Caenorhabditis elegans: one gene and its partners. The protein of the gene in region 3 interacts with the protein of the main gene of each other region in a pairwise test. Each region holds a gene or a part of one and is shown on either strand. Other genes may lie near its edges. The genes, in order: lsl-1, nhr-31, pha-4 and hlh-27.

Evidence for each region.
Region 1: the proteins of pha-4 (region 3) and lsl-1 interact in a two-hybrid assay, tested with the Caenorhabditis elegans proteins (one large-scale study listed by BioGRID).
Region 2: the proteins of pha-4 (region 3) and nhr-31 interact in a two-hybrid assay, tested with the Caenorhabditis elegans proteins (one large-scale study listed by BioGRID).
Region 4: the proteins of pha-4 (region 3) and hlh-27 interact in a two-hybrid assay, tested with the Caenorhabditis elegans proteins (one large-scale study listed by BioGRID).

What each region holds. Positions count from the first base shown.
Region 1 is NC_003279.8:9,897,868-9,904,400, reverse strand, and holds lsl-1 (C2H2-type domain-containing protein), read right to left. Parts: upstream 3,123-6,533; coding exon 3,057-3,122; intron 3,010-3,056; coding exon 2,925-3,009; intron 2,878-2,924; coding exon 2,637-2,877; intron 2,401-2,636; coding exon 2,134-2,400; intron 1,971-2,133; coding exon 1,862-1,970; intron 1,812-1,861; coding exon 1,713-1,811; intron 1,665-1,712; coding exon 1,575-1,664; 3' UTR 1,472-1,574; downstream 1-1,471. Other genes in the region: Zinc finger protein ztf-11, read left to right, coding at 1-5; Mitogen-activated protein kinase kinase kinase mom-4, read left to right, coding at 3,802-3,870, 4,029-4,195, 4,299-4,397, 4,443-4,522, 4,940-5,066, 5,680-6,061, 6,405-6,533.
Region 2 is NC_003282.8:8,022,540-8,032,914, reverse strand, and holds nhr-31 (Nuclear hormone receptor family member nhr-31), read left to right. Parts: upstream 1-3,401; 5' UTR 3,402-3,492; coding exon 3,493-3,599; intron 3,600-4,257; exon of another isoform or gene 4,258-4,404; intron 4,405-6,877; coding exon 6,878-7,155; intron 7,156-7,238; coding exon 7,239-7,393; intron 7,394-7,669; coding exon 7,670-8,151; intron 8,152-8,251; coding exon 8,252-8,525; intron 8,526-8,570; coding exon 8,571-8,744; intron 8,745-8,944; coding exon 8,945-9,094; intron 9,095-9,534; coding exon 9,535-9,666; 3' UTR 9,667-10,260; downstream 10,261-10,375. UniProt on the Caenorhabditis elegans protein: Orphan nuclear receptor.
Region 3 is NC_003283.11:20,749,754-20,760,034, reverse strand, and holds the start of pha-4 (Defective pharyngeal development protein 4), read right to left. Parts: upstream 6,984-10,281; coding exon 6,942-6,983; intron 4,695-6,941; coding exon 4,455-4,694; intron 3,507-4,454; exon of another isoform or gene 3,298-3,506; intron 3,126-3,297; coding exon 3,060-3,125; intron 3,002-3,059; coding exon 2,875-3,001; intron 2,612-2,874; coding exon 2,191-2,611; intron 1,879-2,190; coding exon 1,452-1,878; intron 1,392-1,451; coding exon 1,228-1,391; intron 389-1,227; coding exon 355-388; 3' UTR 1-354.
Region 4 is NC_003280.10:5,537,573-5,543,389, forward strand, and holds hlh-27 (BHLH domain-containing protein), read right to left. Parts: upstream 2,642-5,817; 5' UTR 2,638-2,641; coding exon 2,480-2,637; intron 2,424-2,479; coding exon 2,193-2,423; intron 2,146-2,192; coding exon 1,728-2,145; 3' UTR 1,503-1,727; downstream 1-1,502. Other genes in the region: C17C3.11 (Protein kinase domain-containing protein), read left to right, coding at 263-427, 474-546, 591-838; C17C3.24 (uncharacterized protein), read right to left, coding at 3,432-3,515, 3,941-4,003.

The DNA of each region.
Region 1 (6,533 bases), on a different chromosome or scaffold from region 3:
TTTAAGTTTTTAAAAAATCGTATTTATTTCTAGTTTTCACATTACCGATTGATTCACATTTGTGTTCAGAAACTCAATACATTCCTTCTTTATTCAAATAGTTTTTTCTTTTATCCCTCACTCTCCTCAATCTATTCTTTCAAACTGATTTATCTCTACTCCTCTCAAATCTGTGTGCTCTCTCGGGCAGCACCAGCAGCCCGGTGGTCATCATCAATCAAGCATCGTGGAGCGAAGAGAGAGAGAGACCGTATTAAGAAGTGGCAGATGTCGCCAGATTGCACCGTTTGCACCAAAAATGACAGTAGTTGAGAGTTTGCCAGTTACTTTTCGGTCATTGACCTTTCTTAGAAATACTCAATCAAGTGAATTGGACAATATGTTAGGGGGAAACGGTCCTTACAATTAGTTTATTTATTGTTCACTCGACCTTTTTTTTGCTAAAGAATATTGAAATGGAAGAGGAAATTGAAAAATGAAACTTGCAAATAATATTCCGATGTGTACTTAAGGCTATTTTCTGAAATTGATGCAATTTTAACGCTAAAACTTGCAAGAAACATTGGAAACTACTTATATATTACGAGATTACAACATTCTGAGCCGCGCAACATATCTCGTAGCGAAAACTGCAGTAATTCTTAAAATGACTACTGTAGCTCTTGTGTCGATTTACGGGCTCGATTTTTTGAATTATTTTTTTTTCGAATATTGAAAGAAAAATCGAGCCCGGAAATCGACATAAGAGCTACAGTAGTCATTTAAAGAATTACTGTAGTTTTCACTACGAAATATTTTGCACGTCAAACATGTTTTCTCAGAATATTGTGCTCCCGTAATAGTTAAATCGCTCGTAAATCCACAAAGCAAATGCTGGCCTAGTTTTCTCCTCTTTCTCTTCCATTTCAAATTCAAAAAACTCCCCGCTTTCTAGTTTTCAAAACACCTTCAAATCCGTCAAACATATAATCTTAAAGTATCAATATGCACCACCTCAACTCGTTTACCTCTTTAATGAGCCACCTGCACTGCTTTTCGTCTGCGTCTCTCACTTCTTCATACTTTTTTTTCCCGGCTTTCTCCGAAAACATCTGCTCTTTCTCTGTGTGTTCCCGATTCCCTCAAATCTTTTTTTGTTCCCCCGCGAGAGGGATATTCAAAACGTGTGTCTCATAAATGTAATTTATATTCTAGAATCTGAAATTGGTTGTTTTTCCAAATTAAAAGAAGTATCATTGATATCCCCAACCCTGTGTATTAAATGTCTTAAAATCAGAAATCATCTTCTCTCATTATCACAGCTTTACCATTCAAACATTCCCCCAAATTGTCTTTTTCTTCACCTTGTCCTGCTTTGGTTGTGCTTTAATTGTGAATTTCCCAACTCCTTTATGCTTCTTTTTTACTTCCTTCCTTAAAAAACTTTGCCATCATCCAACGTTTGTTGTATTTTGTCTTCCATTCATATTTTCAAAATGAAAACTTCATAAAAATGAAAGGAACAAGTGCAACAGAACAAAACAATTACACGGGCGTTAGAAAGACAGGGATGTGGGGAAAATTCAGGGGAAAAACTATGCTGATGGTTTTAGAATGTTCATCTCATTTTCAGTGTTAGTGATCATACTGTAGCAGATTTGAGAGATATCGACTTCTGGAGAGCCCTGAAACAAAATAATACAATTAAGAATTAGCAATATTTAACAACTCACCATTTCAAGTTCATTATTACGAATCATCAATTGAACACGAGAATGATAGCTTTGGTGTTGACGATACATATCTACGTCGGCGAATACTCTCATGCATTTCTGAAAATAAAGTTTACAGGATATTCAAGATTTAATTTTCAATTATTTACCGTGCAATAATTTGGTTCTTCAGCTTCTTTCTTATCATGAGAAGCATACATATGCAGTTGACAATCCTCTCTTCCACTACATTCGCACTTGCAAATTGGGCATCGAAAGCTGTAATTTTCAGATTTTGCATGGGATATTAGTAAGACAATAATTATAATAATTTGCGGTAAAAATACAAACGCTGGTCTTTTCACGTCTTCTTTTTTTGTAAAATACAAAAGGGCGTGCGCCTTTAAAGAGTACTGTAATTTCAAATTGAATTGAAACTTACATCTCAAACTCGAGTGGTTTAGCTTGTTCTAGAACATCGGATGCCATGTGACAGTTAGTCAATCGCATTGTAGCTCTCATGATTTTATCGTCAAATGAAGATAGTGGGATAAGCTGGTTTCGGCAGATCATATCAACCCATTTTGAAGGATCTTTACCCAATAAAAGTTTCGGAACCGATCGCTTCTTCTCTGGATTGTAATAGGGCATCGATGTCCCACGAATGACTAGAGCATCGGACGGAATAATTCCAGACGAACGCCGATTGCTGAAATCATTTTTAAGACGAGATAGATATCAGAATTCCCCTCGTACAACACATATAATTCGTGGTTCGTGTATTATACGGTGGACGTACAATAAATGTATTATTCACATAATATAATGGACGAAGTTCTTAAAATTCGTGCAATGCAATGTGAATAACATATTTATTGTACGTCCAATGTATAATATACGTACCACGAACTATTTGTGAAGGTGAAGGGTCGACCGATTGCCAACCTCGAATATGGTCTATAAGCAGCTTCCAACTCTTCTTTGCTTGTCACATGAGTTCGCATGTGCTTTTTCATGTTTCCTTTCAATCGGAACTGTTTTCCACAAAATGGACACACATAAGGGGTATAGCCGGTGTGAACGGTACGATGCTCGAACATATTCGATTTGTATCGGAATCCTCGGCCACAAACATCGCAGATGTATGGTTTGGTGTCGGTATGAATCACAGAGTGCTGTTGGAGACCTGAAATGTTTTTTTTTATTTCAGCTTTCTATTTTTATGCGAATAACCTTTATAATTCATAAACATTTTATTACACACATTACACTGATGAACAGCAAACGGGGCGACTTCTTCTTGTTGATAGGTTCCGAACTAGAAACATTTCAATAATCTTAAAAATAAGAATCGAAATAAAATACCGTTATAGAAGCTTCGTAGTCCTCGCCGTCGTAAGATGGATCCGTTCGGTCATCAATAATTGACATCTGAAGTAAAAAATAAAATTTTTTGAAGAAAAAATGCAGACAATTTGTTGGTTTAAACATAAAATTAAGACAAACAAAACTCATAAATTAATTGACAGCTTCTCTAAATTTTAGGATTACCGTGTTTGACAGTTTCGTGGTGAGACCCAAAAGTTTCGTTGCGTCATGCGCCTTTGAGCACAGTGTCCCCAACAAAGAATTGTTTCTGCAATTTCGAATTAAGCTGAAAACATTATTTATATATTTAACAAAATTAGTTTAGAACAGAAGAACAGAAAATTAGAACATTTTCGATCTTTGTATTTTTTATACAAATATAATTTGAATAAATTTCCATACTTCTTCCCCGTTGTGTAATTTCTTTACTTTTCAGAACTTAAAACATTCAATTATTCTTTATTTTGAATTTTCTGTAAAACCTGCGCAATTGAATTTTATGTATTTATCAAAACAATTTTCAGCCATGCTACAGTAACTTCTTTAAAATCATCATTCTTCCTTGTCTAAATCGGAAATCTGTCTGTGTCCCGTTGGTCTATTTTGTTATTCGTCTGCAGTTTCTTCTACTTGTGCACTATATCGTTTCCACTGAGCGAGAGAAAGAGTATACACACACAACACATGCCAGTTCCTGTCCTTTGCCGCCCATCACCATTTTTTTCACCGTTTCGGCTCTGAAATGGACAATTCGTCACAGAGCAAACCGTCTAGTAGTTCGTCCAGTCATTCGCCAAGTCCTGCCGCAATTGTAAGTTTAATGGATTTTGAGTAAAGAAAAATAACGTTTTCTTGTAAAAACAGTATTGTATTTAATTTTTAAAAAAATCAGTTGAAGACGTATAAAGCCTGCTTTTACCAAAACTATCAATAAAAATCACTGAAAACTCAATAAATTAATAAATTCAGACACCAACACAACGAACAACACGAGATTCCGGATTGTGCTCAACAATTGATATTCCCGAAATTCAAGCACAATGTATTGATAATTTAAATAGTCATTATCTCGGAAAAGGCACTTATGGATTGGTTGAGAAAACAAGATATAGAAAAACTAGGCAGGATGACTTTAGGTTCGTTTCTAGCTTCAAAAATTTAAATTTAATTCTTTTAAAGCATGAGGAATTATCAAAAGTTAACAAAAAATCAATAAAATCACCAAAATATTATTTTCAGGCCAGCAGCAATCAAATATTCTTCTCAACTTCATATGGCAACTCTTATAAGAGAAGCAAAAGTTATGTGGGATCTCAGAAATCATCCTAATATTATAAAGTATGTTTTTATAAATGGAAAATACTGAAAATAGAAGTTTTTCAGAATTTATGGACTGTACAAAAGCCCTCGGAATGGGCAAGGAGTCGTTATGGAATATATGGATTGTGGAAGCATGGCCGATTGTGAGATTTTCATTTAAATTTAGTGAAAATCCCCGATTTCGCCAAATTTTTTAACATTTTGTCGGTTTATTCCGTGTTTCTTAGCGAATTAAACTACATTTTTTCGGCAATAGGAACAGAAATTTCTATCAGCTAAAAATATATTAAAATACATCAAAAAAGCGGATTATACTGCAAAATATGGAAGAAACTGAATAAAAATCAATATATGGACGCTGTAACACGAAAAATCTGGCAAAAAAAATTTCACTATAATTTTGAACAAAAAAAATGCTATTTGGTTTTTTTTTTCCATTTTTAGTCTTAAAAAAATCGCTTTAAATTCTCCAAACCCTGTTTTTTACGAAATTAAAAATTCATTTCAATGAGGCAATTCTCCAAAATAAAATTTAGCTGAAAAATCTATTTTTTTTTCAGTACTCTACGACAGAACACACATTAATTATACAATTGATCATGTGGCTTCATGGATGTTTCAACTATCATCCGCCGTCGATTTTTTCCATTCCAACAGCCAAGTTCACAGAGATTTGAAACTTCAAAAGTGAGTTTTTGATAGCAGAAATTATTGAAAGAAATATATATGTTGGATGTGAAGATGTTTTCAGTGATTTTTGAAAATTAACAGAAAAATATTGAAATTTTTTTCTTTACTATTAGCTAATATATTAGGTAAATTTTTTAAAAGTTGAAAGAATTAATGGCGGAGATCCTGTCAATTTAACAATTTAGATTTTAGAAAAATTCAACAAAATCTTTTGAAATTTTAAGTGAATTTAGTACAGAAAAGCAGAAATGTTTCGAATCCATTTTTAGACATTCGAAAAATTAATTTTAAAGGGTTCTACATTTTTGTGTGAGCTATTTTTTTTATTTTTTTAAGCAAAAAGTTCCTTGAAAATTGGTCCACAAAATAATGTGTAAAATCTAAAAAAAATCATTTTTAAAAAATAATATTTCAAAGTGGATTTAAAAATATCCTCCAAGAAGAACTAATCATATGAAAATAATTTTAAAAAGCCATTTTAAAAGTAAAAATGAGGAATTTCTTAATTTTTGTAGCTTTTCAAATTTCAATAAATTATCAGAAATCTTTAGCGGTCAGTTTTCAAAATTAAAATTAAATCACCTACTGTGGTCAATCAAAATAATTTCAGCATGCTTCTCTCTGATCGATATCGAACAATGAAATTATGTGATTTTGGAACATTTACCTCAATGCATCAATCAATGACTTCAAATCGTGGAACTCCAATCACAATGGCTCCAGAAGTATTTCGATGTGAACAGTATAATATGAAATCTGACATCTACAGTATTGGAATTATAATGTGGCAAATTATTGCTAGAAATCATCCGTATCGAAGAGATCTCTCAGTTCCTGGACTTTTATATAATGTTGCGACAGCTAACTTACGTCCACAAGAACTCGAATGTAATCCTATTTTGTCTGAATTTTATAAGAAATGTTGGAATGATAATGCTGATATTCGACCGACTTCTTCCGAATGTGTAGAATATTTTACTCTTCTAAAAGATGTAAGTTCTTTTAAAAAATTAAAAATTAAATACTCAACCAGTTAAAAACAATTTTTTTGAATTGAACAAATATTTCTAAAAATACAAAATTAAAATTTTTGGACAATCTCGAAAGAAGGTGCTGCAAAGCAAATTAAATTTTTTGTTTTCGAATTTTTTATTGCGAAGAAATTAAAGTATTTATTGAATTTATTTTAAAGTTTTTAAATTTTAAAAATTGTGTTATTCCAACACAATTTTTAATTTTATCTGAGAATTACTGTATTCGTGATAAGACCTGCTTTTCTATGAAACATATGAATCTCGCCAAACTCCAAAAAAACTAATTTTTTTTGCATTAAAGGAATATCCGAATGGGAGCGTACCTTTATCGGATTCTTCAACAAATGGACCAGCAGAAACTCCTCCACCACATGCTCATCGACCAACAATGCTTGGAACTTCTTCTGGAAGTGGAATAGGATCAAATAAT
Region 2 (10,375 bases), on a different chromosome or scaffold from region 3:
TGACAAAAGCAGATTTCTCGTTGTTCTCGAAAATAGTGTCAGAAAAGGTGGAATTCCCAAAAGTTTTTATCCTAATTGTTAACTGAGAAACTCACAAAGAAGCTGGCCATTAAAGAATAGCTGAAACATTGCATGTTAAAGTCTTTTTTCGTTACCAGGTAATCCTTCAGGACTTCTTCACTATCATAGAACAAACTGGTGCAATATTTTGTATTTGTCCACCTTTGATCTTCTAAGGTTCTTTCTTTTCATTTTTTATCACCAAATTCCTGTAAGGAGCCCTAAGAGTCTTAGTACATTAAACCTCCTAAACTTTCGATTCTTAAGGTAACATGCCCTCCCGCCTTCTTTTTCTGAATGAACTGCAAGCTTTCACTTATTTTCAAAGTCATCCTTGTAACTTTCGACCTTCTGCTGCTCTGTACAGCATTCCGGTGATAATGACGCAGGAAAGTCGGCAGTAGGAGAGAGTACAAAATTGTCTTAATTTGATAATGAGCCGTTTGTTGAAAGTATTTATAATTTGTGAAGCAACACTTCAGTAAGTAGATCAACCACAAATCATGCCAAGTTGTCGTTCTTATCAGTTTACGTCTCGATATGTCAAGACAATATGATGGTTGTGGGAGCAAATTGAATTCCGAGAAACTTACAATGATAAGAAATTGTAAGAAATAAGTAATATCAGCTAGTTGGTGTAGTTGAGGTTTGAACTTTTCATATGAACGGGAGGAGAGAGAGATAGAGAAACATTTGGAATTCGGAAGTGATTGTTGGCAATACGTAGGTTAGCAGATTAGTGTTGATAGAAATTGATAGACTGTTGGAAAATTGCTGGCACAATATTAGAAGAGTTTTGAATCAAACTAATCATTTCAAAAATTTATATTTAAAGATGGAGTATTTAGAGCCAGTGGGGAATTTTTTTTAAACCTATGGTGCCAAAATTACCAAATAGTAAAACTTTGAAAATAAATTTAATTTGTTATTCTGTTTTAAACAGTTTTGCCCGCTTTTTTGGAGCTCGTCAAAAAAAGGGGGTTTTGACAATTTCTCCATTGGCAACTGACCTTTATCAACAACGATCGAAATGTTAAAATTCAAGTTCAGTACAGAAACTGAATCCAATTTTTGATATGGAGTCTATTTCTTATTATTCGATACCGTTAGAAATCAAAAAATTAAAAATTTTAATTTTCCATGTTAGGTAGCTTATGAATATTCCTATTGAAATCTGGTGCTCATGCTTTCAACTCTAAAAAAATCCCAACACAAATAGGCCATGTTCTTAACTGTGTGATTCTATTAATAGACCTCCTTGTTTCTCATTTCATGACCGTATCATCCAAAACAATTTCAACCGATAGTCCTTTTTCAATGACCTTTTCATAACATTTAACTGTCCTAATCAAATCGGTAGTTTGTTGTTTTAGTTGTTTAACCAAATGGTTTTGTTGCAACTTCAAGCCTCGTGTACCTCTAAAAACAGATATTTTCATCATATCTTATTATGTCTCCGCCTCCTCCTCAATTTCTCACCAATTTCATCTTCTCCTCCTTCTCAATAGTTTTTCTCCCCACACACAAATTGCGCCCGCCCCCAATTTGCATTTTACTGTTGGTGTCCCTTGATGTGTCCCCCTATCGCCCAAAATCCCGTCGTTGTTACGTTACTATTCAGGCGGAACACACACAGTCACCAGAACCATCATATTTTATTTGTTTCTTTTTTCTTTTCCTTTTCTATTTGAAACCATCAACTTGGGATTTCCCATCTCACGTCTCAATGTTGCAGAATCTTTAGTAAAAGTCGAAACACAAATATATGATTTATTGGCAGGTTATTATCAGTTTGTGCCAATTTATTATCGAAGAACAGTTTGATTAAATCAAGTAAAGTCAGAAAGTCTATTCAACTTTTATTAAGAATTTTAAATATTTTCTATAATCTCCAAGAGTTCGACTCATATTAATGTGTATTCTTTACATTATAACTTTTAAAATTCAATTTTTTTCGCTTAAAAGTTCAAAAATCTGAAAAGAACAATCGGACAATCGTTGTGGTCGTCATAGAGCTGAAATGATCTACGAATAGTTCAAAGTACTGTATAATCTAGTAGCCATATACATTTTCATAATCCTCTCCGTATTTCTTTTCACCAATCCGCTCCGTCATTTTGCATTTTTAACAAGTTTCGGTTATTCCATATTTTCATTTACATAACTTACACGTTTATGTTTCTATTTCATGTTAATTCCATAGTATTCTGGATGGTTCCAAAATAGTTTTGAATTGTATATTGTTTGAATTGGTCCAACTCCGAGAATTACCAAAAGTTTAGAACATTTGAAGAAAACATAACAATGTTTGGTTATTGATAACATAAATTTTGTTGAATCTTCAAGCTTCATTTATTCATATTTTTCCAAATTTCAAAAAAGGATTTCTAAATTTAAAATGTCCACTAAACAATCCTTAATCTCTTGGCAGCTCCTCTTCTTCACACGTGGTTTTTTTCAGTTATCAGAACAATAATCGGTGGTGTGCCAGCTTGCTGAATTGGCTTGGCAAACTTTTTTTGCGTCCTTCTCCGCCACCGTCACTCGTTATCATCAATCACAAATTTTTGGCTGCTGCCACGTTAGACTCTGATTTGTAAGGGGGACATGAACTATTATCAGAAGCTAATTCTTAAATTCTAAAATGAAAATATTAATTTAGAAAAACGAGAAATAGATAATAAATGGAAACCTACTCTCGTTTCTTTCTCCAATAAATCAAATAAAAATAAGAAAAGTGCGACTGGTTGAGTCGTTACCTAACTTTATCAATATTTGATTAGAACTTAACAATGTTTTTGAAATGATCCACTTGGACGTACAAGAGGTAGTACACATTAAACTGACCGTTCGATTTTTTTTCTTAACTTTAATTCACTTAGAGAAAGGTAAAAGGAATCCATATATAAATTACGGGATGTAAATAATATTTTATTATTAAAGAAAGGTTTTAAAACAAACTATGTAGAATCTAGTCAAATAAGTAATTTTCTATTTCTGGAGATAATTTTATTTAAAATTGAATTTTCTTAATTACAGAGAAATTACGTTCAAAATCTCATTAAAAGATGTGATAACCCGACACCTCAATACATTGACCGTTTAATTTCTTTCCGTTTTCATATATATTTTCATCTAAACACATTCATATATTTATATATACAAATGAAACCTAAACCCGTTTAATAATCCGCCTGACCGTCTATCCATCCTGTCCGTCCGTCTATCCTCCTGTCCACCTTCCGACCACAATTACCGTCCCTTTTTCTTTCATTTTCACCGTTTATTTTTCTGAAATCCGTTGCTTTAATATGTATACATTTATATATACTTTTTTCCAGCAACAACAAATAGAAGAACACGAATTTTAATTTCAATTAATTCAAAATTTTTCCCATATCGACGCTGCCGTTTGCAGCACCATCTGTTAAAATGGAACAACTTGATGTCGAAGATTGGGAGTATTGGGGTGATGAATATCTTGAAGAAGAACCAACTTATGCAATAAGACCTGGTACAAGAGTTGTGAAAGTTGAAAGGTTAGTAAATCGATTATTATAACTTTTCTGTGCATTTGAACTTGCATCATAACCCTAACTTTTTTGAGAATTAATATCAAATTATTAAGATTTATTTGCTCAATTGATCAGTTGGAGATCATTTCATAGTTTTTTCTTTAATTTTTTGAACTTGTGAGATAAATAATTTTCAAAAAATTTTGTTTACCGAAGCCGCCAAAAAATTTTATCTCAAATATATAGCTCTAGTGGCTCTTTGATAAAAACATTGAAAATTGAAAAGAAAAGATTTACTTGAAACCCCATTTAATGCTAAATCTAAATTTATTCAAAGTCAATGTGATACAAAATCCCTTCAGGCCTTAAACTTTTACATCTATTCTGATATCAAAGCATTTGATAGTTTCAAAGAAATTACGACATTTTGGCAATCAATCGCTGATCTTCTGACGTTTTCAGATCAATTGACAATGATTTAAATGAACTTTTGAGCAATTATCTCAACTCATTAGAGCCATTAGATAGTTTTCAAGAAGCTGCAAGTACGTGTTCTATTTGCATTTTAATTCTAATTCCCTTTTGTATAGGACAGAGTCTCCCCTTTGTTATCTTATTCTTGCCCCGCCACGACGCAACAACCATTTTTGTGATAATAATTTGCAATTTTATCAATGGCACTACTACCTCTGATCACCACCATCTCACACATACTTTGTAAAAGCGCGTCGATCGTAAATACTACTGTCTTGCCACTTTAGTAGTAACCCTGCCACGTGGAAACTTTGAAATTTGGCGTGGAAATGAGTGAAGAGGCACGTGACAAGATGCGCGCGAAGAATGATCAAATTGCGATAAAAAGGGATAGGTGAATGATCTTTGTGATTTGAATGCTACTTGAGGAATGGTTTACATGGAAATTGAGAAAAAGTAAAATAAAAGGGTTCAAGGACGGTAATCGATCAATTTGAATGAATGAAGAAAGATATGATTGTGATTGATAAAAGGAATTTGCTACAAGAAACCGAGACGAACTGCATCGGTTCATATGAGTCAGATGTGTTCTTCGGTTGAAGAAGATCACTTAATTTAGTGAGAAGTTTCTTTTGAGATTCAATTTTGATTATATTCTTAGAAGTTTTCAGAAAGACAGTTTAGTATTCACTCCACAAGGTTAATAGCTAAAAGTATTCTCTACTCGATTCGAAAAATAATTTTTGCGGGTTTTTACTTTTAGTATAAAATATTTGAATTTGAAAAAATCTCTAGTTAGTAGTTTGTTCGTGTGCAAAGCTTAAACAGGATAATTAAAGTATTTTAAAATATAATCCAGCTTTGATTCTAGATCACAATTCAGCATCTACTTATAGATAAACTAGTATATGTTAACTTCCCCTATCCTATCCAATAACCTTTTCCTTATTCAGCTGTAAACAACAATTGATACAAGTTATCTTATCTCCAAATGCCTCCTCCAATTTTATGAGACCCGTAAAAAAATTCGATAGACAAAAAGCATTACGATTTTATTTATTTTGGTGACATTTTGGATCCTTGTAGTCAGAGGCTCTATCATTTGATCTTCTAATATATCTTTACAAAAAGGCAATACATCCAATTAGCCCAATTAGTCTGCACGTCTTGATATAAATATGACATCATACATTTACTGATTCGAATCGTTGATTTTTAATTTAGAATTAAGGATAAACAGAAAGAAGATTTAAGTGTTTGATTGGAGAATATAGGCATCCTATGCTAAAAGCTATCTCTAATTTATTACTGACATCATCCGTTTCTCGTCTGTGTTTCATGTATCTTTATCACCTTTCCCTCCTCTAGTAGAATGACCTAGAAAGTGATTGGCAAGTCTGGCAAGCCTACAGGGGGACAAGGGTTATAAGATTGATAGGTAATAAATTCTTGTAAAATGAAGAAAAAAAATTCTGTGCGGATAAACGAAGCGGAAATCATCATTGTGTGCGTGCTTTGAGGAAAGGTTCGCGCCTGTTTACTTGCCTTGTTCGGAGGTCGAGATTTCGGACACGAACCACCTCATATTTTTCTCTCGTTTCTTTTCTTCGATTCTCTTTTTTCCATTACTATCTCTCTTCCTTTGGTTCTTATTTTCTCGACAGTCTCTTTTGGTCAGTATAGTTCCTAACTAGGAACTGTTCGAAATCTGGCATGATAATTCTTCAAAAACGCTTATGAAACTTCAAAAACTCGGACTATTTTACTGTGAAAGTATATACCTCCGTTCGTTTCAACAAAAAAAAAGTTAAGCTTTGAAACTATAGAAAAATTAATAATACATCTGCTGCCAGTTGATTTTAAATTGATTCAATCGAAAATAGCCAAGATATCAGGTGCCAAAGTTGAGCAAGATTAATTGAGAAAATAATGTTTTTGGGAGTGCATTTTTTCAAATATACAAGTAGTTTATCAACAAAAAATTATTTTGTACTGGTGTAATTGATTTAAAAAACAAGTAATTGATGTGAAAAACAAGCTTAAATACTGTTCTAAAATAAAGTTACAGGTGTTAAAATGTTTTAAACAAATTATTTACTATTTGTTCAAAACCTTAGTGACATCTAATCTTTATGTTTTCATTTTCTCTTCATCCTCTCAAGCGTCTTCTGTTTTGTATTCTTCTTCTTCTTTATTTCAAATCAGTGTCTCTTTCGCCTTGTTATCAGTAAATCGTCGTCGTCTTCTCCTCCTTCATCTCCTTTTATTTCAATGTCACTCCCACTTAATTTCCCCCATTTTGTAATATTATCATAGAGAGACACCGCCCCATAGGTATTCCCCCAAATACGTCAGTTTTTCCACGTGGAACTTTTTGGTCTTTTTGATGTGTGAACTTTGATAGTTTGCAACAAATTGAAATTATGAATTTTTTTTATCATCAATGGAATTGGTCACTGTTCCAATGATTTTTTAATTGGATTCTTAAATGCCTTTTGGCTAGAAAACTTTGCACATTTAGCTCCGATTAAGCAATGAATTTTTACAATAACAAAAAAGTGCCTATCGACTTTCAATTCCGCTTCCACACACAAAATTTTGCAATTTTGAAACTGAAAAAACCGTATCAAATATAATACTCTTTTGAAAGTTTAATCACTTGAAAAATGTAATTCCGTCTTCACCAAAAAACGTTGTATTTTCCAAGACACAAATTATTGTGGGAAGATCAAGAAATCAAAATTTCAAGGACACACTCTAGTTTTTAAATTTTATTATTTTTGTGTTTGAAACTAATTTTCCCGATCTTTTAACTTTAAAATTTCCAGAGTTCCAATGATGCGAGGAGATTTAAGGACAAGCGGTGCCACGTCATCAAGTGGTCCCGCCACGTCATATATCATCAGGCCCAGTGACAAGCAACCCACAGTTTCTAGTGGTGGATCACAGAATGGAGATTCAGTTTGTGCTGTTTGTGGTGACGGAATTGCAAAATTACATTATGGAGTACTTGCATGTTATGGATGTAAAGGATTCTTTAGAAGAACACTGACTGGAAAATATCGATATGCATGCAGATTCTCAAATAATTGTATTGTTGATAAATGTAAGTTTTTTAAAGAATAAATTCGAATATACTTGACTGAGTATCTTTATAATCAAGAAAATACCTGAAGTTTCGGTTTTCAGTCCAGCGAAATAGTTGCCGATACTGCAGATTTCAACGTTGTATTCAAGCAGGAATGGATCCAAAAGCAGTCAGGCCGGATAGGGATCAGACAGGAAAACAGAAAGTTCCAAGAATTAAGAAGAAGCAAATTGATGAGGAGCTTTTAAATCATATGGTATGTTTTGAAAATGTAGATACACTGAAAAAAAACTGGTGGCAAATTTAAAATTTCCAAAAATTTGACAATTCACAAAAACTTGACATAAAATTATGGAAAATCTCAAAATGATTTGAGTGTTTTTTGTGATGTTTTCTATTTGTTCTGGAATAATCGAGTGAAAAATGTTTATGCATATTCAAACAGTTAAAATTTAGTTTGTGTTGTTGATAAAATCCAGAATAACTTACACTATACATGAATGATGTATAAATTAATACTTGAAATTTTCAGATGCGGTTACAAGGAGATGATTGGTCACGAAAACTTCCTGTCGAGACTCGAATTTTATTAATGCAATTGATGAGTATTGAGGATAAAGTAGTAAAAGGAGATAATAATATGAGTGCACAAAACACTGCAAAAGATCCAAAAAGTATTTCATTACGGGAAATGTTTGAATCAAAACCTGCATTAGATGGTCGACGGATGGAAATTGGTTATGAACCATTTCGAATGGCAAGAACTGAAGAACTTGGAGTAATTGCTCATAGAAGAGCAATTGCAGCTGTTGATTGGGTTGATTCATTAACTGAAATTGCGGATGCAGTTGATACTGAAGATAAAGTTGCATTGGTTAAAAGTTGTTACTCGCCGTTAACTATTTTCAATTTCTCTGCGAGAACTGCTCAGAATACGAAGAATCCGGATATTTTGTGTCTTTGCAGTCATTCATTTGTTCCAAGAAGATTGCCTCCAGAGTTTAATGAGACAAAGTAAGTTGGAATTTTAATTTAATTCCAATTTTTATCAACGCAATAAAAATATATGAAAAATACTATTTAAAATTAAAGAAAATTAATTTGATTTATTCAGTCATCTCTCAAACTTCCTGATTGATCGAACGTTAAATGAATTGGTGGCTCCATTGAGAAAATTAAATCTGAAAGAAGAAGAAATTGTTCCATTAAAAGCAATTATTATTTTAAATCCAAATGCAAAAGGACTATCCGAGCATGCGAGGCACGCGATTTCTGAGTTGAGAGATAAAGTTCAAGATATGCTTTTCCAAATTGTCAAGGAGCTTCATCCAATCTATTCTGCAAGCAGCCGATTTGGAAACTTGTTGCTTCTTCTGCCAACAATTACTGTTAGTCGTCATTACTGTTGCATTCTCTATTTCAAAACATTTCAGACTCTTTCCGGATTGATGTCTGAAAACATGCATTTCTGTCAAGCTCTTGGAGGACGTGCAAGTGGAGATAACTTGTTAGCTGAAATGTTTGGAGATAGAACATTTGATGATCAACTTATCAGCAGCAGCATTAGCCCACCACTATTCGAGAATCCAGCTGAAATTTGTTTAGAGGTCAGTTCACTAAAAATGACTGAAAGATCAAACTTTATATCATTATCTTTTTCTTTTAATTGTCATTAAAACTATAAACTCATTAAAACTATAAAATTTCGGAGTTTCTCGGAGAATTGAAAGTTGAAATTTGCCAACTACCAACTGATAAATGGCAATGATAAGAGTGTGCAAAAATCTAATTTCTTGTTTGTTTGCAGAGTATCTCACCGCCAATGTCTGATCGAAGATTCGTGAGAAGGGTAGATGTGGCAACACAGACAAATGATGATTTGTTATCATCTGGACCATATCTTCCACATTCAAATTCATGTAGCTCCATGCTTAATGCTGGATACTCTCCTCCAATGGTGAGAGAAGTTTGAAAATATTTATGGAATTTGAGGGAAAATATGTTGAAACTTTCTTGGATAGTAAAGATTCTAAATTGAGGGAACTAGCTTCAATGCGTTTTACACAAACATATTCTTAAGAATATACAAGAAGTTTGAAAAACGTTCAAAAAAGCTCAGATAGAGGCTGTGACTATTATCGATTTTTCTTTTATACAAATCGGTACCTATTTTTGCTAACTCGCTCCAAGTCTCTTAACATTTTTTTCTTGGGAATTTCTATTTCTATTATTAACACCGTTTCAAGTTAAGACTAAAGTGGTCGAGCCCAAGAAACTCCTTCCATATGTGGGCTTTTTTGCGTTTTTCAAATGTCTTGTGGCTAGGGAAATGTTTCTTTAAAATTAACATTAAAAAATCCAAATTCTCCAAAATTTATATAATGAGTGAATTTTCAGCTGTCAACATCTCCATTCCCACTTCTCGATGACAATGACAGTGCCTTCCAGAATGACATCAGTTTGACTGAGCTGAATGGTTGTGAAGAGTTCTTCAGTCAACTTATGGATCAACCAATCATTGACAGCTAAAATCTACAGACCAACCCATCTTGCCCGTAATTTCTCATTACTTATATGTGTACATATCTCATTAAAAAAGATCGTTTTCCTATACATACAATATACATACATAGTAAGTTATTGTCTCTTTTTAAACCGATTGTTCTTCTCATTCATTGACATTCAAGAAATGACATACACCCCTCACACATCACCAGAATATTGAATGTATTTTTTGATTAAAAAATTATATGTTCGATTCGGACATTTTATGCATCTAATCGTAAGAATACAAAATTCTCCTCAAAAAATTCAATGAATTCACTTGTTTTGCAAAAGATCAAAAATGTCTCTCTCTTCCTCACTTTTTCCTCTCATTCTCTGTGTCCCTCTCTCTCTTTTCTTCTGTGAAATCCCAGGTATGAAAATAGTCAAAAAAAAAAAGAAATTTATCTGTTTAGTGTGCTGTCCCCACGAAATAGAGTAGATGCATGTATTTCCCCCGGTTGGGATTCCCCATCCTTTTTTTTGTATTATTCTTGATTTCAGCTATATTTGACTCTTGTGCTTTTTTGTTATAAACAGATTTTATATGAAGAGATTTTATTAGAAAATGTTATAAATTGAGCATTATTTCAGAATATATATATATATATATATATATATTATATAGATTATATAGATTATGATTATGATTATGGAGGTTAAAAGTTTGTTACTCTCCGTTGACTATTTTCTT
Region 3 (10,281 bases):
GTATACTTATTGCAGAAAACATTCAGAATTAAATTCGGAACCGGTAAAGTTTTGATTTTACACATGGAGGAATAAAAATCAATTTCTGGTAAAAGTTAAGGCATCTGGTAGAGGGGAACCAGTATAAATTCAAATTCAGTTTAAAAAAAGAGAACATGGGACGAAGAATGAATATAAATTCTCAACAGTATTTACAACAACGATGAGGTGACACAAGCACGCCGGTTGAAACCAATGGCAGGAGGATCGCAAAAAATAATCATTTTCCATCCATAGAACATTTTTTTCACGGTATTAGCATCAGCAGTATCCTATGCCCTGTTCCAATAAAAGGAGAACGTGTGAATTGGAGATTTATAGGTTGGCGGCCGAGTTCGGGTTGGTGGAGCTGAAATTATTTAAATATGGAACTAGGCTTTCTATCGACTTTTTTTGCAACGGGCCATGTTAATTATATTTTATTTTTAGGTGCATTTTGCATACTTTCATAGAACCCTTCTAAATAAGCCCCAAAAGTTTTAGCGGCAGAGGAGCACTTTGAACTGGATAAAAGTCGATCTGAAATTGCTATCAGTGCATTTTTTAACTACTTTAGAGGCCCGTAAAATTGCTCCAAATGATAATTTTGAAAATCTTCATTCAAGTATTCTAGACGCTTTTTGGAAGTTTTTTTTTTTAATAATCTGAAAAATTCCAATAATCGAAACAGTCCAAAAAATAATAATCGAAACAGTCCAAAAAAAATTTCCGATTGTTAGCCGGCTCCTTAAAGACCAATAATTCATTGAAAGTGTGCAAAAATTTACACCTGAAACATTTTTTCGGGCCTCAAACGTTTTGAAATTTTCACTGAAAAATTTTCAGAGCGACTTTTTTGCAGCGCAGAGTGATCCTCTGCCGCTAAAATTTTTGCAGGGGCCTATTTAGAAGGTCTTCTTTCAAATGACATAAATTTTATTCAGAATTCCGGGATTAAGTTGAAATACTTTCCTTGATAATAAAAACCAATACTATCAAATTCGTTAGTACTTTTTTAAATCTTACTATTATGACCGAGTAGAACCAGACTCCAATTTTTACTAAATTGAAATTTATTGTTAACTTCTAAAACATTCAAAATAATCATGAGACCGTAGAAAATAAATGATGTGTTTTAAACAAGGAAAACAAACGAAAAAAATTAGTAGGGGGTCAACAAAACATCGTTAGTTATACCATCAGACATACCTGTAAAGAGTATTCTGGTATACTCCGTTGGTGTAGTCAATTCCTGGATAACTGCTCGTTGTGTTGTAGAGTGTGTTGTTCAGGAAATTCTGGGATTGTGGGAGAATTGTGGCAAAATCCGAACTGTAGAGGTAAGGAGACGCGTATTGACCATTGAGTGTCATCTGAAAAAATTCAAAATGGGAGCTTGAAATATTGTATTCACTGGCTAGATTTTATCTTACCTGTGCTTGCGTGGTTCCTAGTGTGCCAACACTTGAGATCACTGAAGTAGGTTGACTGTGATTAACAGCCGACGGCGTTCCCGATGGGTCAATTAGGCCAAGATTGGCAGCAGCTGCAGTTGCATCTTGCACAGCTTTCAGCTCTTCCTTGATCTCCTTCTTTGTAGAAATTTGAGGGATCAGAGAATAAGCACCAAGTGATGATGTGGTCGTGATGGATGTTGGATCCTCTTCTTTGATTTCCATTTTTGGAATGTGTTGTTGTTGATGCAATTGTTGGGAGTTGGCATTTCTCTTCTTTCTCGATGGCTCACGTTCCTTGACCTTGAATCTCTTCTGCCTACGGAGGTAGCATCCATTCTCAAACATATTCCCACAGTGCTCGTGAAGAGTCCAGAAGGATCCCTTTCCAGGCTTGTCAGGGGACCTGAAAATTATAAACTTAGTCTTTGTAAATCGTTTCCGGAAAACATCCATATAGATTTTTTGTCAAATCTTTTCACTAACGCGCACCCTCACTCTCTCCGGTAATTTCTCATTTCAACAGCTTCACGCATCAATGGGTGTCCCTTGGGCGCACGGTATAATAAATGTGGCGCTGCAGAAAAGGTAGTCCTTGAGATAAACTATATAGGTTCCGATTATAATAGGAAATGATGGTTTTTGTGGGAAAACAATAAGAAGTTTTTTATCGGGACAAAACGTGTCCAGAAAAAACTTTAATTTTCAAGACTCTTACCTGGCAACCTTTACAAAGCAATCATTGAAGGAGAGGGAGTGGCGAATTGAGTTTTGCCATCTTTGTTGATTGTTCTGATAGTAAGGGAACAAATCCATGATCCAATTGTAGATTTCAGACAATGTCAATTGTCTAGAATTAGACTTTTGAATTGCCATAGTAATTAAGCTAATGTAAGAGTATGGAGGTTTCGATTGTCCATAAGTTCCATGTCTTCTGATCTTTTCCGTGACAGTTTCAAATTCCTGAATCGTGAGTTCTTGGCCTTGCCCTCCGCTTACACCAGAATAAGACCTATCGGCTGGCGATGCAGCAACCGTCGAGCTTGATCGTCCATTGCTTCTTCCGATGACCGCTGAGGCGGACGACGTGGCCACGGAAGCGGCCGCTGTGGTGGCTCCGGTGGTGCCAGTGGTAAAACCTGAATGAGATCAAATTACAAATTGTGTATAGAGAGCGCCACTCAAGGTAGGTATGAATGAATAATGGATACTCATTTTGTGCTTGGGAAATATTTAGAGCTTTCAGAGTGAAGAGTATCTCACAATAATTTATTTAATCAGGATTGTCTATAGATATAAATTCATGCATTGTCTTAACCGTATTAAAAATAATTATATGCTATACTGTTTTTATGTATGTGAGAGTTAGTATTTAGACAATTAGGGATATTTTAAAACTTACCAAGAGGTGAAATTCCTCCTCCTTGCATGAAATTGGCTGGGCTGATGTAGTTCGATCCGAGCTGATTAGCAGTGGCATACTGGCTGTAGTTGTTGTAGTTCAGAAGTCCATTGGCAGCAGTCTGGTACTGAAAGTAGAATGGATGTTATTAGACTTATTAGTGAGAACAGGGTCAAACTTTTTACCTGATATGGTTGGTAGTTTAACGTAGTATTAGAATACGTCGGCAGATAGTCCTGAGCGTTCATGGCCTGCAAGAAAAAAATTGAAAGTTTGCTTTGAGGTCTGGGATTATGTAAATATTTAAAGATAAATACAAAATGTGTGTGTGTGTGTGTGTTTATAACAAATAACAAATATTTAGAAAATTCGGAAGCCCCACACGTGGAGCTAGACATGGAAATGAACAAATAAGTCCCGTTTGACCTCTGAACCTGAGCCTTGGAAATTCCTTAAAAAGATGATGCTCAAAGGTAAGTAGAACGCCCCGTACTGAAGAAGAGAGGTGAAGGAGAGGCTAGGCACTAGAGCAGCGGGACTCCGCCTACCTTGCCCTCCTATGCGCGTGCGCACCGCCTATCGCTTAGCCACAGTAACCCCGTCGCGGACTCCGCCCATTTCGGATTTTTACCTTGTTTTAGATTTCAACTGACTCATGGCTGAAAATAGTATAGGTGTTTCACTAATTGTAATCTCCACGTGGTGCTTTTTTAAGAATTCTAATTTTGGTTGTGTGTGTGTTTGTGGACGGTGGGGGGGGGGGGGGGGGGGGGGGGGGGGGTTCCTCGTCGTCGTCGGATAAATAAATAGAAATTGAATAAATATTTGGCTTCTTGGGCAACACGACGCCCAGCCCCTTCTTCTTTTGGTAGGAGGACCTCACAATTTCTATTTTCTTCTGGACACCATCACTTTGCTACTTTTTAGCTACTTTTCTAAAAAATTTTACAAAAAAAAAACTAACTGCTACAATTTTAAATCGAATTTTTATTAAATGAGGAGTACCGAAATCTGAGACTTTGCTTTTTTAACCCAAAATGACGCAAAACTACCGAATTTCATAATGAGACGTTTTAAAAATTTCTCAAAAAAAAGCTATGGCGGTTCAAAGTTCTAGAAAAAATTTGCCCATTTTCAGCTAAAATCAAATTTTTTTTGCCAACTTCTTGGTGTCACAGCGTCTTGAACATAATCCCTATTTGGTTATCACTCTTTAATTTTTGGTTGATTTTAATGTTGAGCCGTATTGGACCTCAAAATATTTCGCAATTCTAAATTTTGGTGATATACTCAGAATCTGGGATTGAATTTCAAAGAAATATTTTCGATTTAAAAAATTGATTAACGAATTGAAATTTTAAAACTTATTGCAGAAACTAACAAGTTAAACAGAAGAATAAAAAAACTAAATGACTCACAGTGCATTTACCTACTCAAAAAATTAATCATCAAAAAGATACGCCAGACGGTTATACAACTAGCCATATGGTTTTTTATTCTGATAAGCTTGGGTTAAAAATGACGATTATTATTATTACTTTATTTTTGACACCCTACCAAATTTGCCGCACCATACCTACCGTATAGTCTACACTTGAAGCAGCCGACGACGTGGCAGGCACCTGATTTCCCGTGTCGGAGGTCCCAGAAGTGGTTCCATTTGGCAACATTTTATGTTTCTGCTCGCGTTTTCGATTCTTCTCGGTTTCCAATAACTTTTTATTTTCCTGTTCCACAGAATCTTCTGAATCCGTTGAATTCGTGGTTGTGGCTGGCTCGGCTTCAGAGTCAGGTTCCGACTCTGGCTCCTCTTTGATGACCTTCAAACAAAATAGTTTAATTTTTTTCATTGTTAAAAAGTTCTCAAATTTTTCATTGAATTTTCCAAAATATCTCTTTTCCACTTGACCCAATTTTGTGTCCTAGCCTAGCACGTACTAGGATACTAAGAATGAGGTGGTGTGGTATAGAATTACATACAAGTGGGATAGAGGAGGGAGGAGGATTCAGATGTGAAGAAATTGAAAATATGTCCGGGGGCAATTTCGGCGAAAGCTTAAGGGTTGATGAGAGGAAAAGCGGCAAGGAAATCTCTTAAAAATGCAATATATAGCACCAAATGATACAAACGGCAATTTCAAGAGCTGAAGAACGATGACGAAATGAGAGTGGGTTGGAAATAGGTTCGGGATGCGAGGGTTTTACTACGTGGCGGCGAAGTTGAAAAAAAAAACTATCGCTATTTTTTTAAAAACATGTGAATGTTTCAACAAAATCTACAAGAGAAATCTTAATTTTTTTTCTTTTCTTAGACCACCTTATCAATACCGCTATGGGTCCTCTCACATTTTTATTAAAACTTTTATTATTGATTGAAAAGAGGCGTGGTATCAATCAGGGGTGGGCGGCAAACAATTTTTCCGGCAAATCGGCAAATTGCCGGAATTGAAAATTTCCGGCAAAGTGTTTCGGTCTTACGAAAAAATCCCTCTAAACATTTCCGGCAAATCTGATATCCGGCACCGGCAGTTTGCCGATTCGCCTTTTTTTAAAAACTATTTCCTTTTACTATTGCCGCCGTTTTTAGTCCGATTTTGAATGGTTCTTTCAAGCAAATTTTGAATGAATATTTCTGGGTCCAGATGTTCGCCCTAACAGTCGTTTTTTCCAGCTGTGATTCAAAATCGTAAAAAAACTTGAGACGACTATCATCCATCTGCCGCCTATTTTTTAGCACCTGTTATTATTGAGCATTAACTGCGCTGACTCATTATCTTATACACTTCTCCAAAATAATCAATAATCGTAAAATAGAGTAGAAAGCAGTGTAGGCGGAAGAAGAGGTTTCTTATCAATACTCACTCGATATGATTTCATTATTTCAAAATAGGTGTAGGTATATTAGAATCAAAAAGTGTGGGACGTTTTTAGGAAAAAGAAAATTCATGTCTATAAGAATAGTAATTGTAAAGTGAGAAAAACATTTTCCATGGTAAATCCAAACTTTTGAACCCCATTTCGTCATATTTTGTTCTAAAAAAATTAGGTTCGTCTTGAAGCTTATCACATATTTATCACTGAAACCGTGTGAAACGAACATGGCAAATAAAAGAAACAACAATTGGCAAACAAAAACTGATATCACATACACACTGCGAAATTGTCAAATATTTGCATGGGAAGGAGGAGCGAGAGAGTAGAAAAGAGCACAAAATATACGTCTAGGAGGCTCCCATTTTTGGGTGGAAGCTTTCGGAGCCACTGGTGGTGGTGCCCCTTCGGTGAATATCGCATTTCATCCATCGAAACAAAAAATATTTGGATGGCCCGAGTTTTGTTTTTGGAGCATTTTTTTCGGGAGCTCTTATTATCGAAATATGAAAACTTTTAATTTTCCACAGTGTTTCAAAACATGTTCAAATTGTTCCATAGAAATTTTTTCTAGCAAAACGAAGAAAAAACTTTGTGCGTGGACCGTGAGAATCAAATTTTCATTGTATCTCTCCGAAAAGAGAATCGATAAAAAAATCTTAAAAGAAAGTTTTAACAATTTCACTTTTTGAGCCTTGCATATTTTAAGAGTTCATGACTAACATTCAAATTCCAAAAAAGCTATTGAACTTAGAAAAAATGTATTTAATGTCATTAAAAAAGTTTGTAGTGATGTTTGAAGAAAATATGGTAAGCTGAACAATAACCTAAACTATTTCTGACAAATCACAGATGTTCATGATATTCTCAAAATGTGCATCTTCCCAGAATACCAATGGAGCAATAATAGGTGGCAACCTAGCATCCTGGCCGGGTCATATTGACATCGAGTATCCCCTGTTAATGAGCACTTATGTGCTATTATACACAGAAGGTGCTCATTTTCAGATTGTTTCAGAAGAGAAATAGAAAGGTAGCTGCAGAAATAGATTAAACATGTGTGGCAAAGATGGTTGTAAGTTTTTAATTTCGAAAAAAGTGAGCATACAGCCGGGAGCTAACAAAAACGTTTTCAGAGGCCCCGAACAATTTTAAAAAAAAACGATGCATGAAGCAGAAAATAACTGGTGCCTTACCCTTATATCAATAATGTCCTCATCACTGGATGGCGATGTCATTGTATCTCAAATTAGATAGTCCTTCAAAAAATACGCAGTGGACAGATAGGGTGTATAAGGTAATATTGGCTGGGGTTGGGTGATTTTGTTAGGTCTCTTGATACGACTCTTCGTTATCAACACTGTGACAGTGTGATGGTGATGATGGTGGTGTAGAAGGGGGCTGTATGGGAATGAGTAGAAGGGAATGGACATAGAGACGCAGTAACACGAGAGAAAAAGAGCACTGATTGATAAGAGAGTTTGACACGGACACCTGGAGACAGCGATCGTCACTCTCTGCTTCTCTACTTCTGCAAGCCTCCTTTTTGGGTTGTGGAGGGAGAGAGAGAGACTGAGTGATCGGAGACCGAGAGCGGGCGCGGTGCCCTTTTGAGTCATTTTGTACAGGCGTAGGGTGGTGGAGAGGGGAGATGGTGTTTCTTTGAAAAGCCGTCTGAGCAAGGGTGTTTAGTGACCCAGAATCGTATAGTGGTGTAGAAATGGAAAGTTTAACATTGAACTCCAAAAACTATCATTAAGCTCACAATCAGCTAATCTCAACTCTTCCTAATCATGTTTTAATATCTCATTTGAAAAAATGAAACCGTCCAATCTCCCCCACGACAATAGGAAAAATAAATTTCTCACCCTCAACTGCCATTCTTCTTCTTCTTGCCTTTTTCATCAACACAATTTTGTGACTGGTACAGATACATAAGAGGACGGACGCCGCGCGCGCGACATTTAGATACGTTATGGGAGCAAGATAAGGCTAGTTGTGTAGCAGTTAATAGCAGTTAAGAATTAGGTAGTATTAACAAAGGGCAATTTAAAAAGATATCACAAAAAAGTATAATATATTTTTTGTTTCAGTCATTCATACAATGTCCATTGGTCCGTTGGTGTGTAAGACTAAGAGACTACAAGTTTTATTGAAGGCACAGTACTAACTTTTGAATTTTTGAAAACCTTGAGAAAAAGAATCAAGCTTTGACAAAAAATTTGCTTGATGCTGTTTTAGGCACGAAAATTAAAATTTTCACAATTTTCAAAATTTCAAATCGTTCCGATTTATTTTTTTTAATTAATAGATACGGTACATCTGGTAACAAGTCTGTGCGAGACTATTAAAGTGTTCAATACTGGTATAATAATTACTGTAAATCAAAAAAAAGCAATAAGAAAGTTAAATCAATGAGACGCTAATACTCCCAAAAATAACTTGGAACAGGTGAATCATTTCAACGATTCACAAAAAACAGAGTTCAAGTTCCGTCTCATTGATTTTTCATTGCATACCACACCCAAGCATCCGAAACTAGTATTAGGTTCAGGAATGACTAATCTCCCAATGGATAGTTACTGTATCAAAAGAGACGTTCACAGCATTGCCCTCTCGTTGCTCCGTCCATCAAGGGCACTGATAATGAGGGTTATCAACATAATAGTTACAAAGACAGGAAAGTGACCAATAAGTTAGATGGTCCATTATCACCTTTTGACAAAAGTTTAATGGTTCCGCTTTCCGCATAGCTCATCGTCGGTAGAATCTTTTGTAACACTATTCTTTAGGCCTTTGCTATCGTTTCTTTGTTAAGGGGAATAGGGATTACCAATCTTTTTTTTTTTTGATTTAAAAATCCAAAAAATTATGATTTTCCCAGATATTAATACAGCCAGCTGTATGATCTTATTCTCAGCACCTCTGTATTCACTTTCAGAGACCTATAGAGACCTATTGTCCGGTTAAGTAGTCGCACCCATGTGCGATTTACAGATATAATGCATGTGAACAACATGAACGCAGTTATGATAGTCCTATTGGCGGGCTAAAAATCTAATCTTTCTTATCAAGGGCCATGGTATAGTTTTTCTGATAAGAAATGACTATAACTTTTATATAAATGCATTAATAAAGTTTTTGGAAATCTTTACATCCAATCATTATTTGTCTTTCCCATTCTACCCAACACTTTAATATCTATTCAGAAACTGTTAATTTTCAGATTTTTTCAATGAAAACTTAATAGATATAGGAAGTATCTGATTTGGAAAATTTGGGATTTAATTTTTCAAGACATTCAAACATTTCGGATTCGAAACAAATAATTTAAAATGAAAAAAAAATTGGTTTATTTTAAGATGAAGTTTTAGAAATTAATTTTTTCAGATGTGACTTTTTTGGACAACTAGAGGCGGGTTTCACTTCACTGGTTGTTTTTTCATCTAAACTATCGATTTCTTCTAAACTTGTCAGTAACAGCTAAAGAAATAAGCTCACAGTCCTGAATTGATCGAAGGAATGGATAAATTCAGAAACAGAGGAGCATTTGCCAGATTAGCTGTTAGCAGAAAAATCGATCCACTTCTGGTGACAACCTATTTGTCTGACCGGGTCAAATGTGCACTGAGTACCCCCTGTTGCTGAGCACTTAGGTGTAATAATACACAAAAGGTGCTCATTTTCAGATTGTTTCAGGTGTAAAAGTGGAAAGTTGAACTTGTCTTACGAGACTAGCCATATGGAAAAGACAATGAAAATGGTGCAATTAAAAAGGGTTTTTTGAGAGAGAGAGAGAGAACATGTTTTTCCCAGGTTGTCTGAATCAGGTTCATATAAATTATTTTTTCTCAAGTCATCAGGACTTAAAATTTGAGGTTGCCATGTAAGAAGTTTTCAATCGTCTAACTCAACTTGTAAGTATTAAGAAACGAAGAGGGTCACCATCTATCTCTTATTCAGGTAGCCCTTTGCCATCAAAGAAAAAAGCCGACAAGTTAGACAAGGGAGGCTACTTGTACTACTTGTAAGAGGTAAACCACGAGAATAAAAATATGAATTAGTACAAAGGGAGAACAAATCGAAAGGAAAGAAAGATAAGGGATATACATATTTGATATTTCAAGCAGAAATTCGAAATTGAAAAAAAAAATTACGATTGAAAGTTTACCAGATTTGAAAATGTACAGTATTATGTTTTTAAATTGTTATTACTAAAAATAACAAACCAAAAAATAACACTGAAGAATGGTAGAGCTGTCAAATGTTGACTACGGTAACTGTTAAAAATATATCTGTCACATAGAACATTCTTGTATTACATAGTGTGTTCTAAAAACATTAACTCAAAAGTGTGGTACAAAAATATATCTGGGAAACTTTATTTGGAATGATTGAAAACAAAGCAAATGAAAATAACTGTAAAAAATTTCTCCTACTTTTTCAAACCATTTTATTCAAATTTCATTTCTTAATTGGATATAACTATTTTATTAAATTACAAAGGACTAACTTGAAGCCAATGAAATTTTTCCA
Region 4 (5,817 bases), on a different chromosome or scaffold from region 3:
TAATTTATATTATATATATATATATATATATCAGAATAAAAACAATTTGAAATAATTTTGAATCAACAGTCCGGATTTTTGAAAATCTCCTTTTCTAGTTTATGAAGTTAATTTTATTGCAGAAAAAAACAAGAAAAACTTTTTTTGAACGTGGACTTCAAAGATGTGATAACGTTGTGTTTAAAAAAGTTCGTCAACGACAAGATCAATATTTTCCGAAAATCCATAAATAATTTATTTTCAAATCTATTCTCGTCACGAGATGACGGAGGCTCCCGTTATTCAGCTAAGTATTGACTATAGAGTTCGTCGTTACAAGGTTTTCAAGAAACTTGAAGATGGTGAATTCGGAGCAGTGTATGCTGTGCGAGATGATGCTGGAGAGGAGCATGTTTTGAAGGCTCAGTTGAATACCAAGGAGATATATGTGAGTTAATACTGTCGAACCATTAAGCAGAAAATGTTATTTTTAGTCGCTGAGAATTGAGCTTTGTGTGATGACAAAGGTATCTGAGAAGTCGCCCAGCCACATGCCTACTCTCATTGGTATGTAGTACACTTTTGTAGGTAACCGTAACCCCATCTTTCAGACAAGGGACGCCATGACAACTTTAACTATATTGTCATGAAGCTTCTTGGGAAATCCCTGCAAGATGCTATAAAGACTGGGCCTGATGGTCATTTGACATTTGGGCTCTGCGATTGGGGCATCGTTTCAATGCTTGGAAGCATTGGAAGATTTGCATTGGAGTGGGTTCTTGGACAGAGATGTGAACCCTGGCAACTTCTATCTCGGAAGAGCAAGCCAAGGCGAGCTTCGCAACATTTTTGTTCTTAGATTCGGATGTTGCCGAAAGTATGTAGATCGCGAAAATTTGATGCTCGAGCCAAGAAAAACTGTGCCATTTCGTGGAAGCCCTCGATATGCACCGCTTGCATCACATAATACGGCGGAACATGGACTGAAGGACGATTTGGAAAGCTGGCTAGTTTAATCAATTTAAGAACTAGTCATTTATGTGATATATTCTGTAAAGATGCCAGAAGGCCAGATTGGGTTATCACTTAGAATTGAAAATAAGAATAATAGTTTTTATTTGAGAAAATGTGTTTTTCTAGGTTCTACATGCTCGTCGATTTCACCAATGCAGCTCTTCCCTGGAAAAATGTAAATGAGATTGGCGAGATTGGTGCGATGAAGAAGAATTCCCGCTTCCAACCGATCATGGGCCAATTCCTTGCTGGCTGCCCAGATGAATTTCGCTTGATTATGAAGTGAGTCTCTACCAAAGCTGATTTATTCGTAATTTTCCATTTCCAGCTATATCGACAGTCTTTCGTTCTTCAAGGAGCCCGATTATGAGATGATCTATACAACACTGCAAAAAGTGATGCTAGACAAGGACATTGAAGAGTTTCCGTATGACTGGGAGATGGAATTTGGTGTGGACTAATGGAACTTTGATTATACATACTTGTCTTGCTTGTATTCTGGCTAACAAATTTTACCGAATAAACATTCATTTTCAAACAGAATAATTTAGACAAGACTATCACGTGAGTAGTAAAAAATCTTCAAAAATAGATTGCGACGCGATGGGATGAAAAAGTTCGGGAATATTGGCCATAGAAAGATAAAAAAATGAATCAAAAACGCAATATAGACAATGAAGATTTTCGAAAAATTGCTCAGAAACTAATTGTAAGATCTGGAAGAACTTGATAGACTAGTTACTAATATCGACGGTTTCTTCATTTTCTTCCTCGTCACTAGTTTCTGGTGTTAAGATTTGAAGTGATGGAAGAATGAATCGGAGGGGAGCAGAAAATATTGATGGAACGGTGTTGTAGTTTGACAAGACATTGAACTGAGTAGTTGGGATCATTGGAATACATGGAAATGTGAGCAATGGAGAAGTAGATGTTGGGGATTCTTGAACTTCTTGAAACGTCAATCTTGGGAAGAGATCCTTCACTTCCATTCGTGTTTTTGGCTTTTCATTCTCTTTGTTCTCACAAGTAGCAGTTGATTTTCCAGCTAAAAGAGGAAGTATTTGGGGAATTGTTTCTGGATACAGAAGATCGGAATTGTGTTTAATGTAATCAATGATGATTTCTAGAATTGTGATCCGTTCAAGTTTTAATCTGAAAATAATTTTTTGAATTTTTATTAGCCATAATGAAACTCTTACCGTTGCTCGTAACTTCCCATTTGTTTGTTCAAAATGAAGAATTTCAATTCAGCATAACAGTCATCTTGTTTCTTTCTTCGAATCTTTTCACGTTCAGTCTTCACTTTTCTTCTTTCGGATTCAGTATCAAACTTCCGTCTTGTAGATTCGGAGAGGTCATTCGATGAGAAATTAGATTCCAGATTAACTCCAGTCACAAGTTTCACAATTCGGAAGAGAACTACTTCTTGTCTAAAAAATGAATTAGTTTAATAACTATTTTAAGCTAACAGAGTATTTAAACTTACGATATATGTTCTTCTTCTGATTTTTGAACAATCGTCTTGCATTCGTTAATCAACTCGTTTGTAATATTTCTTCTTTTCCGTTCAGATCCTGATTTTGGAGTTTGATTGTATGGGACGGAACGATAATCGCTCATTGAAGATGGGATAACTTTTGGCATCTGAAATTTGATAAGTTTTAATCTTTTTAAAATCAAGAAGAAATCTAGAATTTATAAAATTTCAAGATGAGCCGTTAAATAAAAGGAATAATTGTGACAAAACAGAAAAATGAGACCAAGAAAGCAGCACAAATTGATTTAGTTTAGTGAGATAACTCGTGCTGTTTTTCTAGAAGTATACAGTTCACTGAATGCTTTAAAAGTAATTGATCAAAATCAGTACACTTTCCTGATGTTACAATTATCAAAAAGTATACTAAACCAGCAGACCAGTGATCCACCAAGAAAGTAAATGAACAATGAATAAATGGTTACCTTTTATAGTTCCATTATTGTTCAGAGGGTGGAGCTTTGTATCAAGCGTTTGGAGCCATGGGAATTATTCTGAAATCTCTATTTTTACAGTCCCCATCATGGGTTCCCATGGTTCATCAGTGAGGTTCTCATGAGAACGAGGCTGGACATCTCCAGTTTTGTCTTGGGACCATGCGAAACTAGACGACTGGATATCGATTGGGTACTGCCTGGGAAATTCCGGCTGAGACTGTGAATTAGGATATTGGCACTGTGTTAATTTATTCTATAAGTTTATAGTAGTATCAACTGTACCGGATGAACAACATTTTAAACAGAAATATCTCGAAAAGAAATAAAATAGGAGAAAACAACTGAAATTATTTTGCCAGTAATTCTAAACAAGATTGATTTGCAACAGTTTCTTCGAACATAATTTTTATATAAGAAGATATCTATTTTGAATTGACAGTGGTCAACAGAATAAATATGGAGAACAATCATATTGGAAGAGCTGGAATGCAAAAGTGAGAGGAAATTGATTTGAGCTCTTCGATTATGGACGCAAAAATGGCATGGCGTGACTGAAACGACATAAGTTTGAAAGTTGATAGGACGATTTATAATATAAATTGTGTTCCCTGTTTGCTCCAATGATATGAATTTCGGCAACAGTATCACTACAGTATCACGACAGTAGCCTTATAATAACCCGCCAATAAATTCATTTGATCTTCGCTCATGATCTCAGAAACGATTTTTAGTTTTATTACAATTATCATACAGTATCATGATAACAACGGAGATTGCCCGTGGAATAGTTCAGCTACTGGAATATTGGCTACAGTAATCCTATGGCAGTAGCTATGACCTTAAATATACTCACATCTGTCTCCCAAATTACAATTTTTTATTTTTTATTCTTTAATATATTAAGCCATAAATTTCATCGTACAACGACGGAAGACAATTTTTGGAAACTTGCCGAGTCAAAATTATCATGACTCACCTTGGAGATCGTGGAGGAAGCCAGATCATTTGTGGCAATCTCTTCCTGAAGGCGGGTTTCCATAATTCTCACAGATGTCTTGAAACGGTCCTAGGCATTCTAGAAATGTAATGTGATGACGAATAAATGTATATTTCTAACCTTCCGGATTATCTCCAAAAGAGCCTTTGCTCGGTTATATGTGGCACGGTCGACGCCATTGGCGGTCTGAATATAAAAGATGAGTTGAATTTCAGAACGAGATTGAAATACTCACCTTTTTCATTTCACTTCTTGCCTCTTTTTGAAGCTTTCTGCGGTCCATTTTGTAGCAGATGTGAAGGTAAGATCTGAAACTATGAGCAATAAATTAATAGCGAAGTCAAGTCAAGTGATTGAATGTAATTGGTGAGGAAATTAGTATTCAATTTCAATCAAAATCACTGAAACTGATATTTCCGTTTTCAGTGTTCCAAAGTGTACCAATTGCCAACTAAAAGGTTATGTGAACAAACTTTCAAATCAATAAGCCTCCTCAGCTTCAACAAAAAGGGACAAATTTTATCAAAAACTATTAATAACGAAAAATCCCTGACTCATGGTGCATGGCTCTTTCTCAATTCTGATTTTTTGTTGTCTCCCCCCGTTGCAACGATGATAATTTCTGTCTTATTTCTGTATACAGGGTTGCCTTTGGCCTGAATGTTTTTGTCCTTTGTTTTAGGGAAATGAGTTCTGAAACTTTTTTTGTTGGTAATACTTCCAATACTTTGTTAGGTTCAAAAAGTGGTTCTAAAAATTTTGTTTTACGCCATCCATTATTTTTAAAATAACCTGAACTCGTTTTGGTTACTCTGAAGTAACTTAAAAATCGCAATTGTTAATAGAGATAACAAGATCTATAAAAATCGCAGCTTTAGTCTGATTGATCCGACCACAAGGGGCTTCCACGAAAATTGATAAACCATTTCGACAAAAAAATGAGTCATGTTTTGACTGTTACTGACCAACAATTATCGCTACTATTTCTCTTAAAAACAATTGAAAATCATTTAAAAAAAAACAGTTCATTTGTCTCTTTCTGTTTTGCATTTACGTTTTCCAACATTAAATTGACGACATCTGTAATACTCATAAAAATCGTCAATGCACACATTTTTCTCTCAGTTTTTCCTTTTAGCTACAGGACTTTTCGTTTTTTTTTCATTCACTAATTGAACAAGAGAATCCCTCTTGAAGGGATGACTTTGATAATCAATTCGTACACTCAGACAGGTGCGAGTCACGGCTAACCGACTCAAAATCACTGCTAATTAGCTTTTTGACCAGGGATAGAGTCAACCTGGCTAGCTCTGGTTTTTTGCTAATTAGCAATGGTTTGCTAATTAGCCATGGTTTTAAGCTAATTAGTTCTGGTTTTTTGGCGTTTTGCTAATTAGCAGTGATTTTGAGTCGGTTAGCCGTGACTCGCACCTGTCTGAGCATGTTTGGTTTAAAAAAATATTTAAATTTGTTTAGAAAATGTTTTCAATATTTTTTTCAGCAGAATTTTACAGATTTACAATCTTCTTTCATACTCAGATGCAACAAATCTCGAGTTTGACGTCAGGTAAAACTTTCAATTTCTTCTCTGACACTATATGTAAGTTAGTTTTCCATTTATTTCTTGAAGTTTTTCTATTTAAAAAAACTAGCAAACTTTTGTTTTTCAACTTCCGTCGTGTTTGAGCCATTTGTTAAATAATTAATAACAAATTTTTCACCCAATTTTTCCTCTAATAATAATATTGTTTTACTTTGACAAACGGTGGTATTCTTTTGAGTATATCAATAATGCATATCCTGATAAAGTATATAATAAATTACTCGAAAAATGTTTTACTAATTAATAAAAAAAA